Linked DNA regions of Rattus norvegicus. The protein of the gene in region 1 purifies or fractionates together with the protein of each later gene. This does not show direct contact. Links are inferred from orthologs where the notes say so. Each region holds a gene or a part of one and is shown in the gene's direction. Other genes may lie near its edges. The genes, in order: Btk, Blnk and Ankrd54.

Region 1 (6,693 bases):
TCACCTATGTAGCTGAAGATGGCTGTGAATTTCTGATCCTTAACCCGAGTGATGGGGGCCCAGGTATATGCAGCTGTGCCTGGTTTGTGCCTGCCTCTTTGAATCCTGTCTATCTCTGGAGCTGCTCACTATTAATAGTATTTACCAAATGAGACTGAGGCACAGGAGGCTTAAATGCACTTCCCCAAAAGTCACACACACGGTTATTTCAAAGCTGGAATTCGATCTTAAGCCATTTAATACGATATACCTCTAGCCTTAGTCAATATTACACAGGGAAAGAGAGGCAGCTACAGGTAGACTAATGGGCTGGAATGAAGAAGGAGGCAGCAGTGGCCTAGGGAGGAGCTAATGGTAGGAGACCCTGAGGTATCCTGCTTGCACAGTGCTCCAGAAACAAGCTGGCACTTCGTTCACGCCCATTTTTGTTGGATGATCGTCTGGGGTTACAATAATAATAATGTCGTTGCCTGCTACATTTCTTTGATAACCCACCGGCTGATTTCCACCAGGATTTTCCTCTCTCTAGTCCCTTAACAAGTTTTCACTGGCCTTTAGGGACTTTCTAAAGTTTTTATTTGTTTTCTGTTTTCCATGTAAGTGGTTTGGAGATGGACAATTAAACCTCTTTGTCTAATCAAACTTGATTCTTTTTATCAATCCCCGTGTGGAGTAGTTGTGGGGGTATTTTAAAATATTTAATTGACAAAATTGCGTGTGTTTAAATATACACTCATCTTGTATAATAACTGCCACAGTCAAATTAACCCATTCATTATCATCAATAGTTACGTGTATGTGTGTGTGTGTGTGTGTGTGTGTGTGTGTGTGTGTGTGTGTGGTGGAGACACTTAAATCTGTTCTCTTATCCAACTTCAAGTAAGCAATCGAGTATAATACAGTCTCCACGTTGCACATTAAATCTCCAGAAGCTACTCATCTTGTAGTTCACGATTTGTTTAGCACTATTTTTCTGTTTTCGCTATGTCTGTGCTCGTTACTTTCCCCTAAGATGAAGCACCTAGAGCTGGAGACAGAACTCTAGTTAGGGTCTTAAGTTCTCAGTGCTTCAAGCCCAGAAGATACTCACTTTCCTACATATTTTACTTCTAGAAAAAAGGCTCAATGTCACCTTAACTTTTCTCTCAGCCATTTTTGTTTCAAACTTGCCATTTCTTTTAGTTGCTATCAGCAAAGCCCAGGTACCATTTTCTTTTTTTAAAGATGTATTTATTTTTTTTAATATGAGTACACTGTAACCGTCTTCAAACACACCACAGGAGGGCATCAGATCCTATTACAGATGGTTGTGAGTCACCATGAGGGTGCTGGGAATTGAACTCACAGGACCCCTGGGAGAGCAGCCAATGCTCTTAAGCACTGAGCCAATGCTCTCCAGCCCCCAAGTACCACTTAACAGGCATCACAGCCACCCACCCTACATCCTACCTGGAGATATTTGAATTTCAAAGTTGGAATCTAGTTGTGAGACATCACTCTTCACCTTGTAAAATACATTGTTGAGTTTGAACTCTTACACCAAATGATGCAGGTCTTTTTGAATATTAATTACCCTGATTCATCAAGTACACAACCTTTCACTATTTATACAATACATTAATTGGGCTACTTTTTCCCCAGGCTAGCCTTGAACTCATGAGCCTTCTGCCTCTGCCCTCTACAGCATGTCCTACTGGAGTGAACCACTACAACTGGCTGGGCTACTTTCTCTATCTTCCACACAGCTGTTTACTACAGCTGGCACCAAGATCAGAACCTACAGCATGAGTGTGGAGGTCAGGAGAACCGCTAATGAAAACCACTTCTCTCCTTCCATGGGAATTGGACATAAGTCATCAGGCTTGGCAGCAAGTGCTTTACCTGCTGACCCATCTCCATGGGGAACAATTTGAACTTACACTAGCTTATTTGTTCGCACTATGGTATGAGTGAGAGTGCTGGGTAAGTGGCTGTGGTCAAAGGTTCCTACCTTTATTCTGCCTTCTGCCTTTGCCTCCCTAATTTCCCACAATGCTGTTATTTAACTCCCAATTCCCACCCCAAATGGACCTTTAGAAATGATGGAGCATGTGACAAGAAGCATCTAACTGAGGACAAAGGAAGGTATGGTGAGTGTCTATGGTCACTCCATTGATGGCTGGCACAGTTACTGCATGTGACTAAGGAAAGGTCATAACTTGTCAATAAAGCTTGGACCATAAAGGGAGAGCCACATGAACTTGGTGCCCATTGATCTGTACCAGTGAAATGATTTACTGATCTGCCATTCTACAAATGCTTAGAAAAAATCCCAGCGCTTTCAGTTCTGACCCACTTTTGGGATCAGTAATATGTTCCTGTATTAGGGTGTAATATGAAAATGGCCGGTGAGAGAAGACAGACAAGATCAGTCACCAGGGCCTCTACCACCATCACTGGCAAATATCGGCTACATTTCTTTAGAGAATTCTCAGGGAGAAGAGGGAAGCTGGGACACAAACTCAGGACCCGCGGAGGGAACATTCGGACTTCAAAGATCACATCTAGTCTTGTTTACTAGTTGATGGAATCAAAGACAATATTGTACCTTGTTTATCTTGGAGGAAAAAAATGAAACAGAATCTCCTATGTTGTGCAGGCTTTGAACTGGTGATAGTCCTGCCCCTCCATCACCCCAGTAGCTTTAATTATATGTGCGTTTCATCATGGCTCATAAGGCTGCAATTTGAAGGTAGAATATTCAAAAGAACATTTGAAGAAATGGGGAAGGGCTTATATTCAGGCATCTTTATGTGCAGAAGAAAATTGCTTTCTTAGAAAATGACTCAGCAGGGAAGTCTTGTCTCTACCTCTGTCGGGCTTTGTATTTCAGGGTCTCTGAGTGAGACTTCTTTGTCCTACAAGTTGAATTGTGTGGTCCTGACTCTCCCCTACTGAGGCGACAGGAGACCTTAAAGACACTGGCACCTCTCTTCTTCCTGTACTGATCATCCCCCACAGTCCTTTAGGTATGTCATCCCTTTGCTCCAGGAAGGATAGTCTGATGACCTGTTTGCTCAGCCTAGCCCCATCATCTTAGGGGACTCAACCACTCCAGTAATGGGAAGAAAGTGTCTCTCAGAGCTGGGCTCTATGGGTGTAATGCGGGGAGGGGAGGGTTGGAGGGGAGCGGAATAGGGACGGCAGCTCGGAAGCAGATACCATATTGCTAAGAAGAAAAAAAAAGGCATTGGTTTAAGTCAGGAAACAAAAAAAGGGAACTGAGTGGCTGTGAAAGGGTGGGGTTTGCTCAGACTGTCCTTCCTCTCTGGACTGTAAGAATATGTCTCCAGGGCCAGTGTCTTCAGAGATCAAGTCCCACCTTCCAAGTCCTGGCATCTCACTACGTCTGGGAAGCTACCTGCATTAAGTGAGAACTGAGGTGGGTCTGGGGTGAGGCAGGGCTTGGGCAGCAGCCATATTTCCTTCTGTTGGAACCCTCGAAGGTCGGACAGGAAGCATGGCTGCTTCCATCTATCTACTGGTGGAGGAAGCTCATGGAGAGTGGGAGTGTCACAGCAGAAGGCCTGGTATTCCCTTCCAACACTGCAGGGAATATAAGGGTCTTTTGAAGACAGCGACTGTGATGGGGTGGTTATAGGAACAGGAAACCTGAGGTGTCCATCTGAAACGACAGCAAATGTTGGAGGGGAGCTCTGCAGCTCTCGGTGGGTAAGAGACTCCACAGGCAGCAGCCAGGTAAAAGCAAGTCGTTTTTACCAAACACAAAATGGATCCTTGTATCAATGAGAACCTTCGAAGAAGGAATTCCAGGAGGCTGCTTGGTCTGCAAAACCTAAAATAGCTCATGTGTCTCAAACGGCAGTGCTGAGGAAAGGTCTGTGCTACATAGGGTGGAAGCAACTTGTTTTGCCCTGCAACAGGCCAAATAGTACTAGGATAAGGGCTGGCTCATAGGAAGGATTGTGTGGAGGCTGTGGCAGCCTCGTGGTTAATAGTGGGTAGGAAACAGAGCCAGCGGAATGCAGCCTCTGCCTCAGCCAAGACAGTGTGGCCAACCCCTGAGGTCTCCGGAAAGGTTTTTCCTCTTACAGTTACCTACCATGTGCATGCTGTCTTTTCTCTTGGCTTCATTATCTTTCCTCTCGTCTCCTTTCTGCTCTCTCTCCTTCCTCTTCCTTTCCTGGCTAGTATCCCCTGATCCAGAATCAGCACTTAACAGCCTTTTTAAATAGCATCAAATTTGTCCTGCCCCTTTCTCCTCGGGGTCCTTTGTTTTTTTTTTTCTCCTACCCGCTCCCCATCTACCTGTTCCTTTGTTCTGGACCATTACTGCTAGCAGTTTAAGTGTAAATAAATGTAAAGTAGTTAAGGCCCCTGGCAAGAGTAAGTGCTGGATCTCAGCAGTCGTTACTAGTTTGGTTCTACCACAGTCCTGCCAGTCCCCAGTAGGGTTGGCCTAGGGGCAAATAGAGAGAAATGTTTGACTCTGCTTAGATCAAGCTGATGGTGACATTCTGAAACGAGCCTCCAGACATCCAAATGGAATCATATCCTCCTCAGTACCGAGCTCTCAAGATTGGAAGGTTTGACCCATGCCAAGTATTTCCAGGGACGGAGCAGCAGCTGTCCAGAGGCTGAGGTTGGGGTGGGTGTATGCAGCTCAAGGCCTATCCACCCATCCTCTCTGTTAGGTAAATGCCTTAGCTCTGTTCTTTCCCTCATTTTGTTACACTTCTGAAGCAAGGGCACTATTGCCTTTCTCAATTATTTGAAATGAGCCACAAAATGCAAATTCTCATGGAGACCTAAAGTATTACAGATACACGGTATCCCTTAAGCCTTGCCTTATCCATTGTAGACTATGTATTTATCTTTTTATGTGGAAGAAAGGTCTTGCCTACCTAGTCAAGGCTATGTAGCCCAGACTCGTCTCAAACTTGTGGTCCTTCTGGCTTACTCACCTGCATGCTGGGATTACATGAGGACGTTGCTGCATCCACCTGACCTCTATTTTATTTAGGCCGTTTAATCTATTCGCTTGTGCAAAAAAAAAAAAAAAAGATTCCTGTTGCTAATTGCTGTTGATGTTTTGTTTAGAATCTTTGCAAATGCCTATGGGGGAGAAATAGTGTAACTTTCTGTCTACTTGTAGGGTCTTGGTGCAGTTTAAACAGGCACTATGATTTGTTCTTTCCATCTGAGCAAATTTCCTATAAAGTATCTTGTCAGTGATCTGGAGCCATAGCAGGAAGTCACTTCGATATAAGGGGGAAGACATCTCTTCTGAAACCCAAAGTTTGGGCGTTCTCCAAACAGTCATATGTATCGGTTTCTCTACTTTTCCCTGAGCAGTGCTCAGATCTAATTGCTAACCTCTGAAGAGAAGGGACGGCTAGAATTCAGGGCACAACAGAACACAAGAAGAGCTGGAGGTGGTGGCACACACTTGTAATCGCAGCACTAACGAGGCTGAGGCAGGAGGTTTGCCTGGAGTTCCAGACCAACATGAACCACAGAGGAGGAGTGGGAGGGGGGGGAGGAGGAGGAGGAAGAGGAGGAAGAGGAGGAGGAGGAGGAGGAGGAGGAGGAGGAGGAGGAGGAGGAGGAGGAGGAGGAGGAGGAAGTAGTTGTTGTTATGGAGGAGACTGACTTTTTTTTTACTCCAAACCTGCTTGGTTATGCATGAAGTCATCAGGGGAGGGGGAGGGGACACACCTCTGAGGCGCCTGAAACAATTGGGCCACGTGTAACTTTCAGTTTGTTATGGAGGTTTATGTACAGTAATTGAGCATCATCTTAGAACTGTATAAACCTGGGGTGTCTAACCACAGGCATTCCTCCCCACTGCCCACTCTCTGAATGCCCTCTTCAAAGACGCCTCAAAATGCAAAAATTTCAGGTTATTTGAACCCTAGCTTTTCTCACTGCTGACCCTCACCAAAGTGAAAATAAAGCCTGACTCCAAAAAAGAAATTTAGAGAGTTATGAGCAATTGAGTTTTAGACAAATGGAGGATTAAAATAAACTCGTTTAGTGAAAAAGTTAGTGTAGAATAAAGCCAGAGTTTTTTTTTTTAATCACTGAAAGTGACATGAAAATGAAGTAAAGATGTAGAGGAAAAGAACTCAGTCTCTCAAAGCCTGCTATTAGGAGCAGAACTTGGTACACTATCTCTGGAGGCAGTTTGGCAATATGTAGAGAAATGCAAAATGCACACACAATTTTTCACATTTCTGTATATATATGCATATATATTGTGGTGTGTATATGTGTGTTTATGATATGTGTGTCTGTTTCTGTGTACATGGTGTGTGTGTGTGTGTGTGTGTGTGTGTGTGTGTGGTTTTTTTCATGGTGTAGATGTGTATATGTATCTGTGTGTATATATCAGTACCTGTATGGTGTGTGTGTGTGTCTGTATTTGGGTATGTGTGTGGGTATTTGTGTGTGTGTGTGTTTGTGTGTGTGTGTGTGTGTGTGTGTGGTGTGTCTGTATGGTGTGTACACATGCACAAGTATGTGCCGACGCCTTCAGAGAGTGTCAGAGTTACAGGATGCTGTAAGTGGCTTGATATGGATGCTGGGAACTGAACTCCAGTCCTTTGGATAAAGAGCAGGCACCCTTCTTACCTGCTGAGCCATCTCTCCAATTCCTCCTCCTCCTCCTCCTCCTCCTCCTCCTCCTCCTCC
Region 2 (6,693 bases), on another chromosome or scaffold:
TAAGAGCATTTGTGTTCTTCCAGAGGACCGGGGTTGGATTCTCAGCAACCACATGGAGGCTCACAACTGTCTGTACCTTAAGTTCCAGAGAATTTAATGCTTTCTGCCCGCCCCCACCCGCTCCCCGCAGAAGTGTTCCAGGAGGTGTGTAGACGTCCATACAGGCAAAGCACTAATCTGCATAAAGTAGTAATAAAATACATTTAAAGAGAAGAATGCTATCTTTGCTATTTATTCGTGGGTGTATAACTGGAGCTCACTGGTTTTCCACTGTTAAATAGTATTTGTTTATGTAAATGTGGCACAAACCACTCATTATTGTCCTGTTAATGGGCAACTGGGCCGTTTCCAGGACTGGGTTTTTGTTTTTCCTGTTAGAAACAGGAAAGGAAGCTCACGTTCAGTGGTGCAGCACTTGCATGGCCTGCACAAGGCCATAAAGGAGGTGGTGTTTCACTGAGCACTCTTGCATGTGACCTCGGTGTATCAACGCAGAAATGCCTTACAGACCCATGACCTACCCCCTGCTCACAAATATGTACACCATTTAGCACTAAACTCTTTCCGATGTGATTGTGCTTTGTGGCTCTCTCAGTGGTGTATAAGAATCCCAGTTGGTAAAAGGCTGTGACTGGGCATCTGTCCTGTTAATTTGTCAATTCAGTCATCTCTGTACCTGCTGTCACAGACTGGGCCTGGCCGCTCTTCAAGGCCTAGGCTTCGGGGTCACCCAGTGTAGTCTCACTCCATTAATAAGTCTGTAGCTGAGATTTGGCTCCCATTCATGCTCAGTCCTTCCTGACAAGCCATGGTGGCTGGAAAGTCACTGGGTCAGGCTTGGATTGCTGGGCTGTGACCCTCCACACAGAGGGCAGAACTACACACACCGGCCTGGAAAAGCAGTTTCTCATTTTCATCGTGTCAGTCTGAATACAGTAAAAAGAAGAAAGACAAATGGCTGTAAAAAGAAAAAGCAGAAGTGTAACCCTCACCCCTCTCTCTTTCTCTGGGGAAAAAAAGAAGTTGCCAGACCAGGTGCTAAGCAGAGTTGGTGGAGAGGAAAGTCAGTGGGTCAATTGGGAGCACTTTACAATAATTCAGAGGGAACAAAAGGCTATTATCAACCCATTGGCCGGACTTTCCTGACCCTTGATGACATCAAACATGTTTTTCCTCGTATTCCTTTCGGTTAAGAACCGTGGGAGGGGCAGGGCAGGGAACTGATCTCCTTCAGGATATATTGCAAGAAAACTGAACTGCCTGACTAGAGAAAGCCAACAGCTAGCTACAGGAAGCAAGCGTTTGCATTTTTCTCATGATGACCTACTCTCCTGCAGAAGGACCTCACTCTTCACCCGCTCTAAAGCTTCAGCTCTCGGACGTCCTGAAGAATGGGAAATTCAGATATAGAGCAGGAATGAGAACAGTCAAGGATTCGGAAAGATAGAAGGACTTCTGTTTGAACAAAGAACCCAGGGGAGAAGAAATCCACTTTTGCTCTCCATCTCCTGTCCTCCCTTCTCTGCCTGGTCCGCCTTCCCACTTTCTCTTCAGCCAGGCCTTGTAGCTATAACATGAGAGATAACCAAAGTCCCTCTACTTTGTTCCCCCAACTCCCATGCATTCTTTAGACCCAGGTCAATGGTCCTTTGATAAAGTTTGGAACATAATCTCCTTTCACAAAGGTGACCAGGACATGCCAGGTGACAGGAGTTGGGGTGGGGGTGTTCGGGTAAAAAGGGGAGAAAGAACACCCCGCTCTCATTTTTTAAAAAAATTCTTAGCCCTAGACTGCTTTCTGCTCTTTAACTCAGCTAAATCAGAAGCTTGCAGAGTAGACAGAGGAATTGGGGGTTCTTGAGGAGGGCAGCAGAGCTGTCTGGATGGGGTCAGCGGCAGGTGTGGGATGCATGATGTTCGGTCTGATGAGAGGCCACAGACGCCGAGGGGAGTTAGGAGGTATCTTCCTGATGTCATGTGCTTGGAAATTGCTGGGTTTGCTCTCAGCTGACTTCTGAGTATATCTTGGCTTTATTTAAGAATGTCAAGCTTTTGACGAGGCAACTCCTGACTCCACATAGCGTAGGATGGAGTCACCTATCTCTACCCCTGAGTGACCTTGACCTCGCACAAAGAATTACCCATCACAGTTTAAATGACCACTGCTGTGACCTTGGCTCCAAGAGCTGTCCAATTCGTGTCTCTGTTATCTAAGAAGAAAAGGCTTCTTCACGGCTTTATGCAAATGAGCAGAAAGCCCCCAACAGTCATCCAGATATCATCGATTATTCAGCTTTTCCTGGTACCTGAGAAGTGGCAGGATGACTCTGGCCATCTGCTGAAAACAGGGACTACCTAAGGTTTGGGACAAACAGGAAGTCGTGCTCAGTCAACCAGAAGCTTATTCCAACCTGGCAACAAACCTGATCATAAAAGAGAGCTGCTGAAAAGGGATTTGCATGCCCAATAAGGTTTCACTACTGAAGTTTACACAACGCACAGTAATCATCCAGGCTGGCTGACTCGCTGGATCACATGACCTCGTAGAAACACGAAACTTGGCGATGTGCTCCAGCGAGTTTTACTTCCCCTGTGTAGGGGTGTTTGCCAGCAGCCTGCGGTTGCTCTCAGAAGTCAGTTCCAGTGGCATGAGCCCTTGAGGCCAGAGTCTTACCATGCTGCTCCCCAGGAAGCCCAGGAGCTGCTGACATCCCTCTGGACAGCGACTCCACAGCCCCTCTCAAGAAAAATGGACAAACTGAATAAAATAACTGTCCCTGCCAGTCAGAAGCTGAGGTAAGAGTTTCCCTTTGGATCTGTATTCCTCTTCTCTCCCCTTTAGTGCTCCTCCAAGGGCTCAGAGGTACCAAAACCATGGAATACTTGACCAGTTCCGAGGAATTGGTTGGCAGTGGCGATAGGGAAGTAGGTCAGGTTTTTAAAGAAATGTGTAGGAAGAGTGAAGGGACCTGCTTTGGCTGGGTTTTTGCCAGCGATAGGACAAAGGGTGAAGCTCTGGAAAGGCAAGAAGATAGAAAATTTGATGGCACACATGCTACCCACAGTCAGCTTTCTGGGTCTGAATAAGATGCTGCTGGGGGAAGGGCTTGTGCACTGCGTGAAGAGCATGTGTGGTCACTGTCAGTCACTGTCTCTTGTTTGTTTTGTGGATGTTCATCCTAAGTTTACTGGGGGAACCACAGGCCTTTCTAAAACCCTCATGACTATCTATTTTAAAAAGTGCTTAAGGGCCAGTCCACTAGCTCATTGGACAAAGTGCTGATCATGCGGGCCTGGTGACTTAAGGTCTATGCCCACAGCCCAGATAAAAATGGAAAGAGAGAAGCAACTCCACAAGGCTGGCCTTTGACTCCATACTCACTGCCTGGCACGCGCATTCCCTGACTGGTCATGCCCACACACATTTCACACATGCACATATACTAATGATAACAACAATCATTTTAAAGGCAGCGTTGGCAATTAAAATATACATATATGCTAACAAGAATAAGCCAGCAGTGGCCTAAGTCACAAGTCAAGAGACCATGCAAAGACGACTTCCCAATTTTTGAGTTTGGAGAACTTTGTCTTTTGGAGTGGTGCTGATGATGACTTTCTGAGGCCAGAACTCAAAATGTTTAAGGACGTGTTATATTCCGTGTGCAGACTGGAACTTTGGACTTTCATGAGGTCATACTTAGGAGCTGGAGAACTGGAGATTCTGAGACAAATGACAAGAAAAGAATATAGAGTTGGTAGAAGGACAGTCTTCCACAGCAGCATGTGGGTCTTCTCACTCTAAGGGGTTTGGTAAGAGGCAGACTGAGATGTACTAAGGGGTCCAGATCAGAGGGCAGCATCGGCTGGTCAGCCATTTTATAGAGCATGCCCAGGAGAGCCACAGAGTCCTTAACATGGAAGTCAGAAGGTCCCACAGGCACCCTACGTCTTTTGCTGGGCATCTCATGGAGGGGAGGGGTGGAGAGGAAACAGTGGAAATAATAAGTTGCAGAGAAGTTTTCATGAAGACGATGCTTTAAGAGTTAAGCTTTTGAGAGGCAGCTGAGAAAAAGCAGACGGAGAACTGGGGGGACAGGTTACACGCTGAGGAGGCTGCAAGCTCACATGCACAATCTGATGTAAGCGCAGTCTCAAATGTGCGCTAGCGAGGAAAGTTCTGCCCAGCAGAGGCCATGGAGTGGAACGTATAGGGTGAGAGGGCCCTGGGACATTGGTCCTGTCTGGTGGGGCCAGCTGAAAAGAATGAGGTGGGTGGTGTCTAACCATACAGAGTTGGGCAGTGTTTGTGCTGTTAGAGAGAGAACTGGCATGGTTAAACTGAAGGCACGAGTTCTGGGGGTGCTGGGAATGTTAGGATCCCAAGCGTCTAGAGTTAGGGGCACAGCAGTGAGGAGGGACATGCAGGGAGCGGTCAGATGTGGCAGAGAACTGACAAGGTCTCGTGCAGGGGCTGCTCTGAGCAGAGGTCCCAACGGTCCCTAACCTAAAGCCGCCCAGAGCCTCAGAAGGTGCTCCAGGGAACCTAGATGAGAGTCAAAACAAAGAGAGCAATAGAATTTTAATCACCTTAGGATCCCTCCCCCATGGGACAAAGTCCAGTCTAATCATGGAGTGGGTGGTGGGCATTATGTAATCATATTATAGGCTAGACGGCCAAAATTATATTGCAGATAATCACATGCTACGCCCATCTGCTGAGAGCAAAGCAACGTTTTCCTGCACTTGGTTACTGAGTTGTCTGCCCAGACTCAGCCCATTTTGATGAGATGTGCAGTCAGATTGCAAAGAAATGCGACTGTAAACGAAACAACTCAAAACACCACCCAAAATGTTTTCTGTAAATAGGTGACCTGGTGAGAAGTTAGCAGGGGGGCGGGGGAGGGTTGGGCAGCGTTTGTTCTGTTACAGAATGAACAGGACGGACTGCATAGGGGAAGCTGAAGGCACAGGTTCTGGGCGTGCAAGGAACTTAAGGATCCCAAGCATCTAGAGTTAAAGACACTGAAGTGAAAAGGGAGACTGTGTGCCCTCTCCTGACTGGTCAACAGCAGTTTAGAAGGTTGCCCAGAGAGTTACTTGGCTCCAGATTGCAATGTGGTGTTTGGAGTCTTTCAAACCCATCAAAGCCTATAGAGGAGTGTGATCAAAATGAAGCCAGGCAAACAGCAATGCTGTAATAAAGCCATACAGTGAGTATTCTAGTCACGAAAGGGGCTCAGTGGAATGACCCAGACCCAGGGGCTACATGTCCAGGTCTCGAGAGAGACTGGAAGCAGAGGGATGACCAGGAAGAGAAGCAGAGTGAACCAAGGAAGCAAACACAGGCAGGATTGTGTGTGTGTGTGTGTGTGTGTGTGTGTGTGTGTGTGTGTGTGTAGGAGATCCTCAGTGTGAGGATGGAAGTCTCCCAAGGCACCCCGGGAGGTACTCACTGACCGATGTTCCATGTACTGGAACTGAGGCAGTAGAGGTGGCCAGGAATGTACGGGGCCACGTCTTTGTCAACATATATTTCCAGACTTTCATTACTTTGTACTTAGCCATGATTTCCCTTTGAGTTTTAGAAGGTAGTGACATCATCACAAACTCATCAGAGACCCAGGTTCTCAGTTCTTCAACATCAAGCATCCCTAGGCGCGCACAAGTACCATGTTACTGAGTGAGCATTTGGGAATCTACAATCCTGAAGAGCCGTTCTCTTTGGGTTACTGTTACTAACTTGAAAATGAAATTTTACATTTTAAACAGCTTCCCCGATAATGGATCATTTGTACTTGGGTACTTCCCTCTGTAACACACACAAACACGAACCCATTTGTTTGTCAACATGGAAAATGTCTTTGACATAAGGCTGGTCAAGCCAGGCTTAAGTTTACTTCATTTTCTTGGCCCCAGTTTCTTCACCTGTAAGACCACAGAGGTTATAATAATAGCACCAATGTCATAAAGCTATTGTTGGAATTAAATCAATTGTCCCATGAAGCAACTGACATTATGACCCTGGTGCCATAATTACTGGGTATAAAAATTAATAGTTATTAATGTAGCCTTCATGATTGTTCTTATCAATTTCGTAGCTTGCAAATGACTTTCAGGACATAAGCAGAAGACTTTATGCTGGCCCCTGGCATGTCTCCTGCTAGTTTCATTTCTTCTTTCTATTAGAACATTTTTGTTATTGAGTCTGGCATCTGCAGCTTTTAGCTTTGCATGGATTGTAGACAGGGCACACATGTCTCTCAGGCCTCGTCTTAGTAGCCAGTGAAACTTCTCGGGACAGAAGGCTCTTGTCACAGGTGTCCAGGCCTTGTTGGCTAGGGTCTTACCTTCAGATTTTCTCTGATAGACTCTGGGATATTGCTCTCTCTTCATGTCCTGAAATTTTCCATTAGGGTTTTCAGTTCCTTGACTTCCCACATTAAGTTCTTTAGAAACCAATTCAGCTTTCTTTCCAGCTTCCGCCTCTACCTCCCTCCTCTCAGGCCCTCCCTGTTTCTGACAATGGTTTCATGAGCAGCCCTAATTCTGACTCATCCTCCGTGCTCTCAGTCCTACTCACCTGCCACACCCTGTGGCCTTCCTTTATTTCTCTTCTATCTATGTTCTTTTCCTCACCATCCCATGTTCCCATGGTGTCTGCTCTACACCCCTCCACAAAGTAGGTGATTT
Region 3 (6,593 bases), on another chromosome or scaffold:
CTCCACTTGCATTGACAAAAGTGACTGGCAGCAATTTTCCTCACTTGCGTGGACATGGTCATTAGTGTATAATGTCTTCCCCTTTACAGGGCCTGGCGCTGTCAGGGATGGAATACCACATCTATTATCCCATCACAGCAGCGCTGCTGATAGGCAAGGCAGAGACGCCCTGGTTTTCTGGTGGCTGCTTTGCAAGTCCAGGCCTTCATGCCTGTTCTCAGCCCAACCCTGCCACTGCCTCACATTGGGGGCTGTTCAGTTCTTCCTTGCTTAGCTTCGCCTGGGATTTTGTATGTCCCTGGGGCTTGTACTCTCTCCTCTTCAAAGAGCGGCTGCTTCTCCTCCTCTTTCAAAGTGCTACTTCTTGAGAACCAAGTAAATACCAGCTAGCAGCTTGGGCAGCTGTGTCTAGCTGGAATGCATATATATCTATGCAGAGACACAGAGATGGGACCACAGCCTATACCAGAATTTCTGTGACTCTTCAGTCCTACCATGGGGATAGAGAGTCCCTTCTGACATCCTATCCTCTCCCTAGAAACATAGCTTAAACACAGAATCCATGGCCATTGCAATAAGAGAGTTCCTCACAGGGCTAGAAGTCTCTAGAGGGCCAGCATCCAGGAGGGACCAACTTTCCTGTGAACTACGGATGGCTCATCTGGAGGGGCCCTCGAGTATCGTCCATCCCTTGGGACTGCAGCATAGCTAACACGCCTGCTCTGTCACCCTTCTCCTCCCTCCCCCATCGTGGTTGTCAGTGCAGCAGCTTCTGGAAGATGGTGCGGATCCCTGCGCAGCTGATGACAAAGGCCGAACAGCCCTCCATTTTGCTTCCTGCAATGGCAATGACCAGATTGGTGAGTTCTGGAGCAACAGGAGCTGGTCAAAGGCAGCAACAGTTTCTAAGCAGTGGGGAAGGAATTGCTGTCTGCATGCCTCAGGGCACCCGGGGTTTGGAATAAGGAGGGCTTGTGAAGGGAATCCTCAGTGCTAGGATTACAGATGTGTCCCACCGTGGCAGGCTTGGCAAGTAGTCATTTAATAAACAGAGGGCCTTGCTGAATGAACACAGTGTGTGTGTGTGTGTGTGTGTGTGTGTGTGTGTGTGTGTGTGTGTGTGTTTGTATTTGTATGTTTGAAATGGGGTCTCATGTAGTCCAGGCTATCAGACTTCCTGTATTGCTTAGAATAACTAATCCCCCTGCCTCTGCCTCCAGAATGCTAGGAGTCCACAAACCTGGGCCATCCATTTTTTCTTTCTTTTTGTGGTTCTGGAGATTGAACCCAGGGGCTTCAGTCATGTTAGCAAGTGCTCTGCCACTAAGCTACATCCCTGGCCCTCTTAGGGTTTGCACTGCTGTGAAGAGACACCATGACCAAGGCAACTCTTACAAAGGACATAAAACTTGGGGCTGGCTTAGAGATTCAGTCCATTATCATCATGACAGGAAACCTGGCAGTGTCCAGGCAGGCATGGGGCAGGCAGAGCTGAGAGTTCTGCATCCTGTTCTGAAAGCAGCTAGAAGACTGACTTATAGGCAACTAGGAGGAGGGTCTCAAAGCCCATCCCCTAGATGACACACTTTCTCCAACAAGGCCACACCTCCTAACAGTGCCACTCCATGGGCCAAGCAAATATACCACACTAGCCCTCTTTTGGTTTGGTTTGGTTTGGTTTTTCAAGACCGGGTTTCTCTGTGTACCTGGCTGTCCTGAAACTCACTCTGTAGACCAGGCTGGCCTTGAAATCAGGGATCTGCCTGCCTCTACCTACTGAGTGCTGGTATTAAAGCTGTGTGCCACCACCACCCAGCTTTCCTTTTTATTTTAAGAAAGAATCTAAGTAAGTTGCCCAAACTGGCCTTGAGTTCATGCTACAACCCTGGTAGGCCTTGAACTTGAAACCTTCTAGCCTCAGACCCCTGAAGAGCTAGAATCACAAACCTGAGCCACCAGGCCCAGATATGTCTCCGTGCTGCCCCTTTCCTATGGTTAGTGGGTTTTTTCTGTGTATGACTCTTTACAAATCTTTGCCTACCCCACAAAGATAGCCTCCTATTTCCTTCTAGAAAGGTGACTGTTACAATTAATCTATGATCAGTCCCTCTGGAATTAGCTTGTGTTCTTTTGTGAAACTTAGCCTGGCCTCCCTGTACAATGTTGGTTGTTAACCAGGGTGATTCTAGCTGGTGACTGGCAAGCTCTGTCACCATGAGGCAGCCTAAGGCTGCTAAAGAAGGAAGATAGTTCCCAGAGTGCAGCATCGTCTATTGTCGCCTAGACACTGCAGGGGAATAGGAAATACATTTAGGAGACCTCTCCTCAGTCAGATAGGACTGAGAGGCCAAGAGACCCTCCTAGAGTCCTTGGTTCCTGACCCTTGGGTCCTGCACCCTGTAGATCAAGTAAGTTATTTAATGCACGCCACAACATGGGGAGCCATGTCTGGATTCTGCATTCCACTGAAGTAGAGATTGCTGGTTTCTTTGAAGACAGAAAGGCATAGTCAGCAATGAGACCAACCTCTGACTCCTAACCTCTGACCTCTGATGTCCCAGTTACTACTGAACACCCTGATCTCATCTGCAAACTTAGGGACATCTACAAGTGTGTTCCTACAGATACAGGTTGGCAAAGTGACTGCTCTGAGCCCCAAATAAAAGGACATGACGGTCTTCAGCCTGGTATTTGTTATAGGTGGCCCTGTCGTTGGAAGTGATAAGATGAGGTCTATCCCTGAGGAGTGGGGTCATCCAAGGCCTATATGGCTAGGTGACACTAGTGGCAGGACAGGGAGAGACCAGACGGTTTCTACTTTTCTCCACACTCCAAACAGACCTCTGCTGGCTCTGGGTGAGGATTAGTTGGAGGAAACCTCTAACAGTATATTGTGGTGTTTTCTGTCTTCAGTGCAGCTTCTCCTGGACCATGGGGCCGACCCCAACCAACAGGATGGTCTGGGCAACACCCCATTGCACCTGGGTAAGTCCACCACAAGCTAGACTTCTAGCATGTAAAGCTTAGGTTTCAGGAGGCTCCCAGCAGGATCCCCTAGCATTCTGGCAGGGCCTGCACCACAAGTATGCACTTCCCACAGCCTCTGTCCCACGGACCATCCATTCCCAGGAGACTGTGCACCTGGCAGGACTGCTGTGCACCCTGGACTGGCTGCACACAGCTCTGCTAGGAAGTGGGTTGTGAGCCCTTTGGCTGCCCCAGCCTTGCTGTTGATTCACCCCAACAATTACAGTGAGTCTCAGCTCCATGCCTCAGTTTCCCCAGCTAAACAGGGTAAACTGGACTTGATCTAAGCCCTACTCAATAGGGCATACTGCCCTGGCGACACTGTCTCAGGAGGTAACACAGCACAGCCACACTCAGGACTCAGCTTTTCTTCCCTTGATCCCCACAGTCCTGGTTCTTACATCACTTTTCTTTCACAGCGGCCTGCACCAACCATGTTCCTGTCATCACCACACTGCTTCGAGGAGGTATGTGGGGGACCCCTTCCCAGTCTCCTGCCCTTTTCTCCATCTCCTCCCCAGCATGCTTCCTCTGCCTATCCCCACAGGGGCCCGTGTAGATGCCCTAGACAGAGCTGGCCGCACGCCCCTACACCTGGCCAAGTCGAAACTGAACATCCTGCAGGAGGGTCATTCTCAGTGCCTGGAAGCCGTCCGCCTAGAGGTGAAGCAGGTGAGTGAGTCCTCCTCGGATGGGTACCATGCTTACCAGACTGCCTGCCTCTGGCCTAGGGCTCCTGATCTTACCAACCCCAACATCCCTTCTCTGTTATGTATAGTAGTGAGTTAGTTAAACCACTTTGACTCCCAGGGGGGATCAGTCTCATGATACACCCACCCAAGAACTCTCTGCATTTGCAAATACAGACACACACACACACACACACACACACACACACACACACACGCACACACCAGCTAATTTGGATATGCCTTGACTAGCTCAATGGGTGGGCATTTCTAATCTTCCCCACAAACACTTTCTTTTTTTGGGGGGGGGGGTTCTTTTTTTTGGAGCTGGGGACCGAACCCAGGGCCTTGCGCCTCCTAGGTAAACGCTCTACCACTGAGCTAAATCCCCAGCCCCCCACCAACACTTTCTAAATCTGTTTTATCTTTGCTGCCCCATTACCTTCTGGCCAGCCCCCCCTATAGGGGCATTTTCCCTTTCCACCTACATTGCTGGATGAATTTTCTACTGTAGCTCTTAGATCTAATCCTTCTCCCTCCAGGTCATGGTGATTCTCCTCCTCCTTCCCTCTCTCTGGATCCCTTGGCCATGCAGCAGTCTAAAAGTCCCTCCCTGTCTCCCTGCCCAGCCATTGGCTGCATGGCAAATCTTTACTATCAATCTAAGCCAGCTGGGGCAGGGACCCTCAGTGGAAGCTTGGCTGTCAGGAGATGAAATAGACAAAGCGTTAGAACCAACTCCCAGTGCTTATGTTAATAGTAGCAACTTGCCTGTGCCTGCCTCCTAGCCTGTGACTTCCTATCTCCTTCCAGATCATCCACATGCTACGGGAGTACCTGGAGCGCTTGGGGCGACATGAACAGCGTGAACGGCTAGATGACCTCTGTACCCGCCTCCAGATGACAAGTACCAAAGAACAGGTGAGCTTCAGCCACAGGACCAAGCAATAGCCTCAGCCAGTCCAGCTCTGCTCCAATGCAGCCAGACCCATGTATCAAAAAAAGATGGGACCTAGGGTATTGCTACTACCATAGCCCCTCACAGCCTCTGTCTATGTCCTTGAAGCTGAAGTGGCTGGTGTGTGCTCAGGTCTGCTCTTGGGGGCAGTACCAGACCACGTGATGTCTAGGATGAACCCATAGTCAGAGAGAAAGGGTGACAGGGCCCTTCACTGGTCAGGGACTCTGCTGAGCACAACACAAAGGTCTCAAACCCCCATCCTGCTCATTGAAATACCATGGAGGGGAAGCATTTGCATGCCCTGAAGAGTGGCAGTGCCCATGTTCAGTGCCCATTGTGATACCCCTGGTTCAACCTGACTGTCTCCCTGCAGGTGGATGAAGTGACGGACCTCTTGGCCAGCTTCACCTCCCTCAGTCTGCAGATGCAGAGTATGGAGAAGAGGTAGCAAGGAAGGCTGCTTCTTGCTTTACCGCCGCACTCCTGCCCTCTGCACATGCTACAGGGAAAGCCCAAGGGATCTGGAGTTCCACTTTGCCCTTGCCCTGAGATGCTGAGGACAGAACTGACAATGTGCAACATCTCCCTGGGTCAGGACCACAGCCCCTGCTCCTGCTGCATAATACCAGCTCTGTAGCCACACTCCAGGCCCACACGTGCTGTCCTAGCAGACACCACTCCTCCTGTGGCCTCCCTGTCCCTCAGCCCACCTCAGAGCCCTCTCTCTTCCCAGCCGTGGATTTCCATTACCTCCACCTGGCTTTGGGTAGGCCGCTCTGAGGCCACCAGGGCTGCTCTGTTCTCTAAGCTCGCCCTGCTCCTTACACCAGCACTTCAGTTTAGCCCTGCTCCTGACTTTCAAGGAAACACTGCACTGTGGGGTGTCTCTGAGCAGAAGAGGGACATTGCTCAAGCTTAGGCCTTCATAAGATTAGGAAGGACCCTTTTTAGCCCAAAGAAAGATCTGTAACACCTTCTCTCCCAGTCACTGGAACACTACACATGGGAGTCCATTTCACAGCCTACTTATCAGTGGTTGATAGTGGGTCATGGGCCCAGGTCCTTATCCCAGGATCCTCTAGGCCTTGGGTGTTTTGATAAGAGGCTATACAGATATATAACTAGAGGTCTTTAGTGGGGAGAAGATTCTGGATCACCTAGGTGGACTGGATATCACCCCAGGTAGCCCTGGGGAGGAGGCCGGAGGTGACCTATGCCATGTGGACGTGAGTCATGGAGGAAGAAGCCAGGAGCTGGCTAAGGACAGCCAGTGGGTCCCTCGGAGCCTCCAGCAGGGACTGGCTCTGCTGACAACTGCACCAGACAGAGCTCAGCTGGACATGTTTTTGTTTCTGGCCTCCAGAATTGTGAAAAGAAGTCTGTTGGTTGAACTGGTGGTTGTTTTTTGGTTCATTTTTGGTTTTGGTTTGTGGTGGCTTCTTGTGGCACTAGGAACTGAGGAAGTAGTGGGGCCAGATTCATTGCAGAGGTCTCAAGTCTATTGAACCTGTCTGGCCTATGAAGGAGACATTCCTGGGCTGGGGGGAGGGGGGGACGGGGGGGACACATCCTCACCTAGGAGGTCCTCCTTCCAGACAGGGATTTGGCCAATGGCTTCTAGGCTCCCAGCCCATGTCCAGCCTGGCACTGCCCCACTTTCTCTCCAAGCTGGAAGCCCTGGCTACTAGCCAAGGAGGGCCTTTCTTCAAATCCCAGCTTGGTATTGAGCTGAAACTCAGCCACTCCCCAGACCCTGAGGAAGAACTGGATAGAATTTCTACCCCCAGCTCCTTGTGAGAGAAAACCCAAAATCTATGTCGGTAGGGTTGGGAGGGCAAAGTGCTTCAGTGGCCTCAAGATGGGGAGGGGCAGCTGCTGTCCCTGCTGAGTGACAAGAGGGAGGGGCTGGGTGTATG

The links.
Region 2: the proteins of Btk (region 1) and Blnk purify together in Homo sapiens (affinity purification with western blotting; 5 studies listed by BioGRID and IntAct, with this or other methods). This does not show direct contact. The link is inferred for Rattus norvegicus from reciprocal best matches to the Homo sapiens genes BTK and BLNK.
Region 3: the proteins of Btk (region 1) and Ankrd54 purify together in Homo sapiens (affinity purification with mass spectrometry; 4 studies listed by BioGRID and IntAct, counting the BioPlex papers as one, with this or other methods). This does not show direct contact. The link is inferred for Rattus norvegicus from reciprocal best matches to the Homo sapiens genes BTK and ANKRD54.

Annotation. Positions count from the first base shown.
Region 1 is NC_086039.1:102,051,742-102,058,434, reverse strand, and holds the start of Btk (tyrosine-protein kinase BTK), read left to right. Parts: upstream 1-3,291; 5' UTR 3,292-3,421; intron 3,422-3,494; exon of another isoform or gene 3,495-3,738; intron 3,739-6,693. UniProt on the Homo sapiens protein: Non-receptor tyrosine kinase indispensable for B lymphocyte development, differentiation and signaling. Binding of antigen to the B-cell antigen receptor (BCR) triggers signaling that ultimately leads to B-cell activation.
Region 2 is NC_086019.1:249,766,483-249,773,175, reverse strand, and holds the start of Blnk (B-cell linker protein), read left to right. Parts: upstream 1-2,642; 5' UTR 2,643-2,749; coding exon 2,750-2,796; intron 2,797-6,693. UniProt on the Homo sapiens protein: Functions as a central linker protein, downstream of the B-cell receptor (BCR), bridging the SYK kinase to a multitude of signaling pathways and regulating biological outcomes of B-cell function and development.
Region 3 is NC_086025.1:112,496,672-112,503,264, reverse strand, and holds the end of Ankrd54 (ankyrin repeat domain-containing protein 54), read left to right. Parts: intron 1-761; coding exon 762-860; intron 861-2,913; coding exon 2,914-2,985; intron 2,986-3,446; coding exon 3,447-3,494; intron 3,495-3,574; coding exon 3,575-3,699; intron 3,700-4,529; coding exon 4,530-4,637; intron 4,638-5,050; coding exon 5,051-5,125; 3' UTR 5,126-6,068; downstream 6,069-6,593. UniProt on the Homo sapiens protein: Plays an important role in regulating intracellular signaling events associated with erythroid terminal differentiation.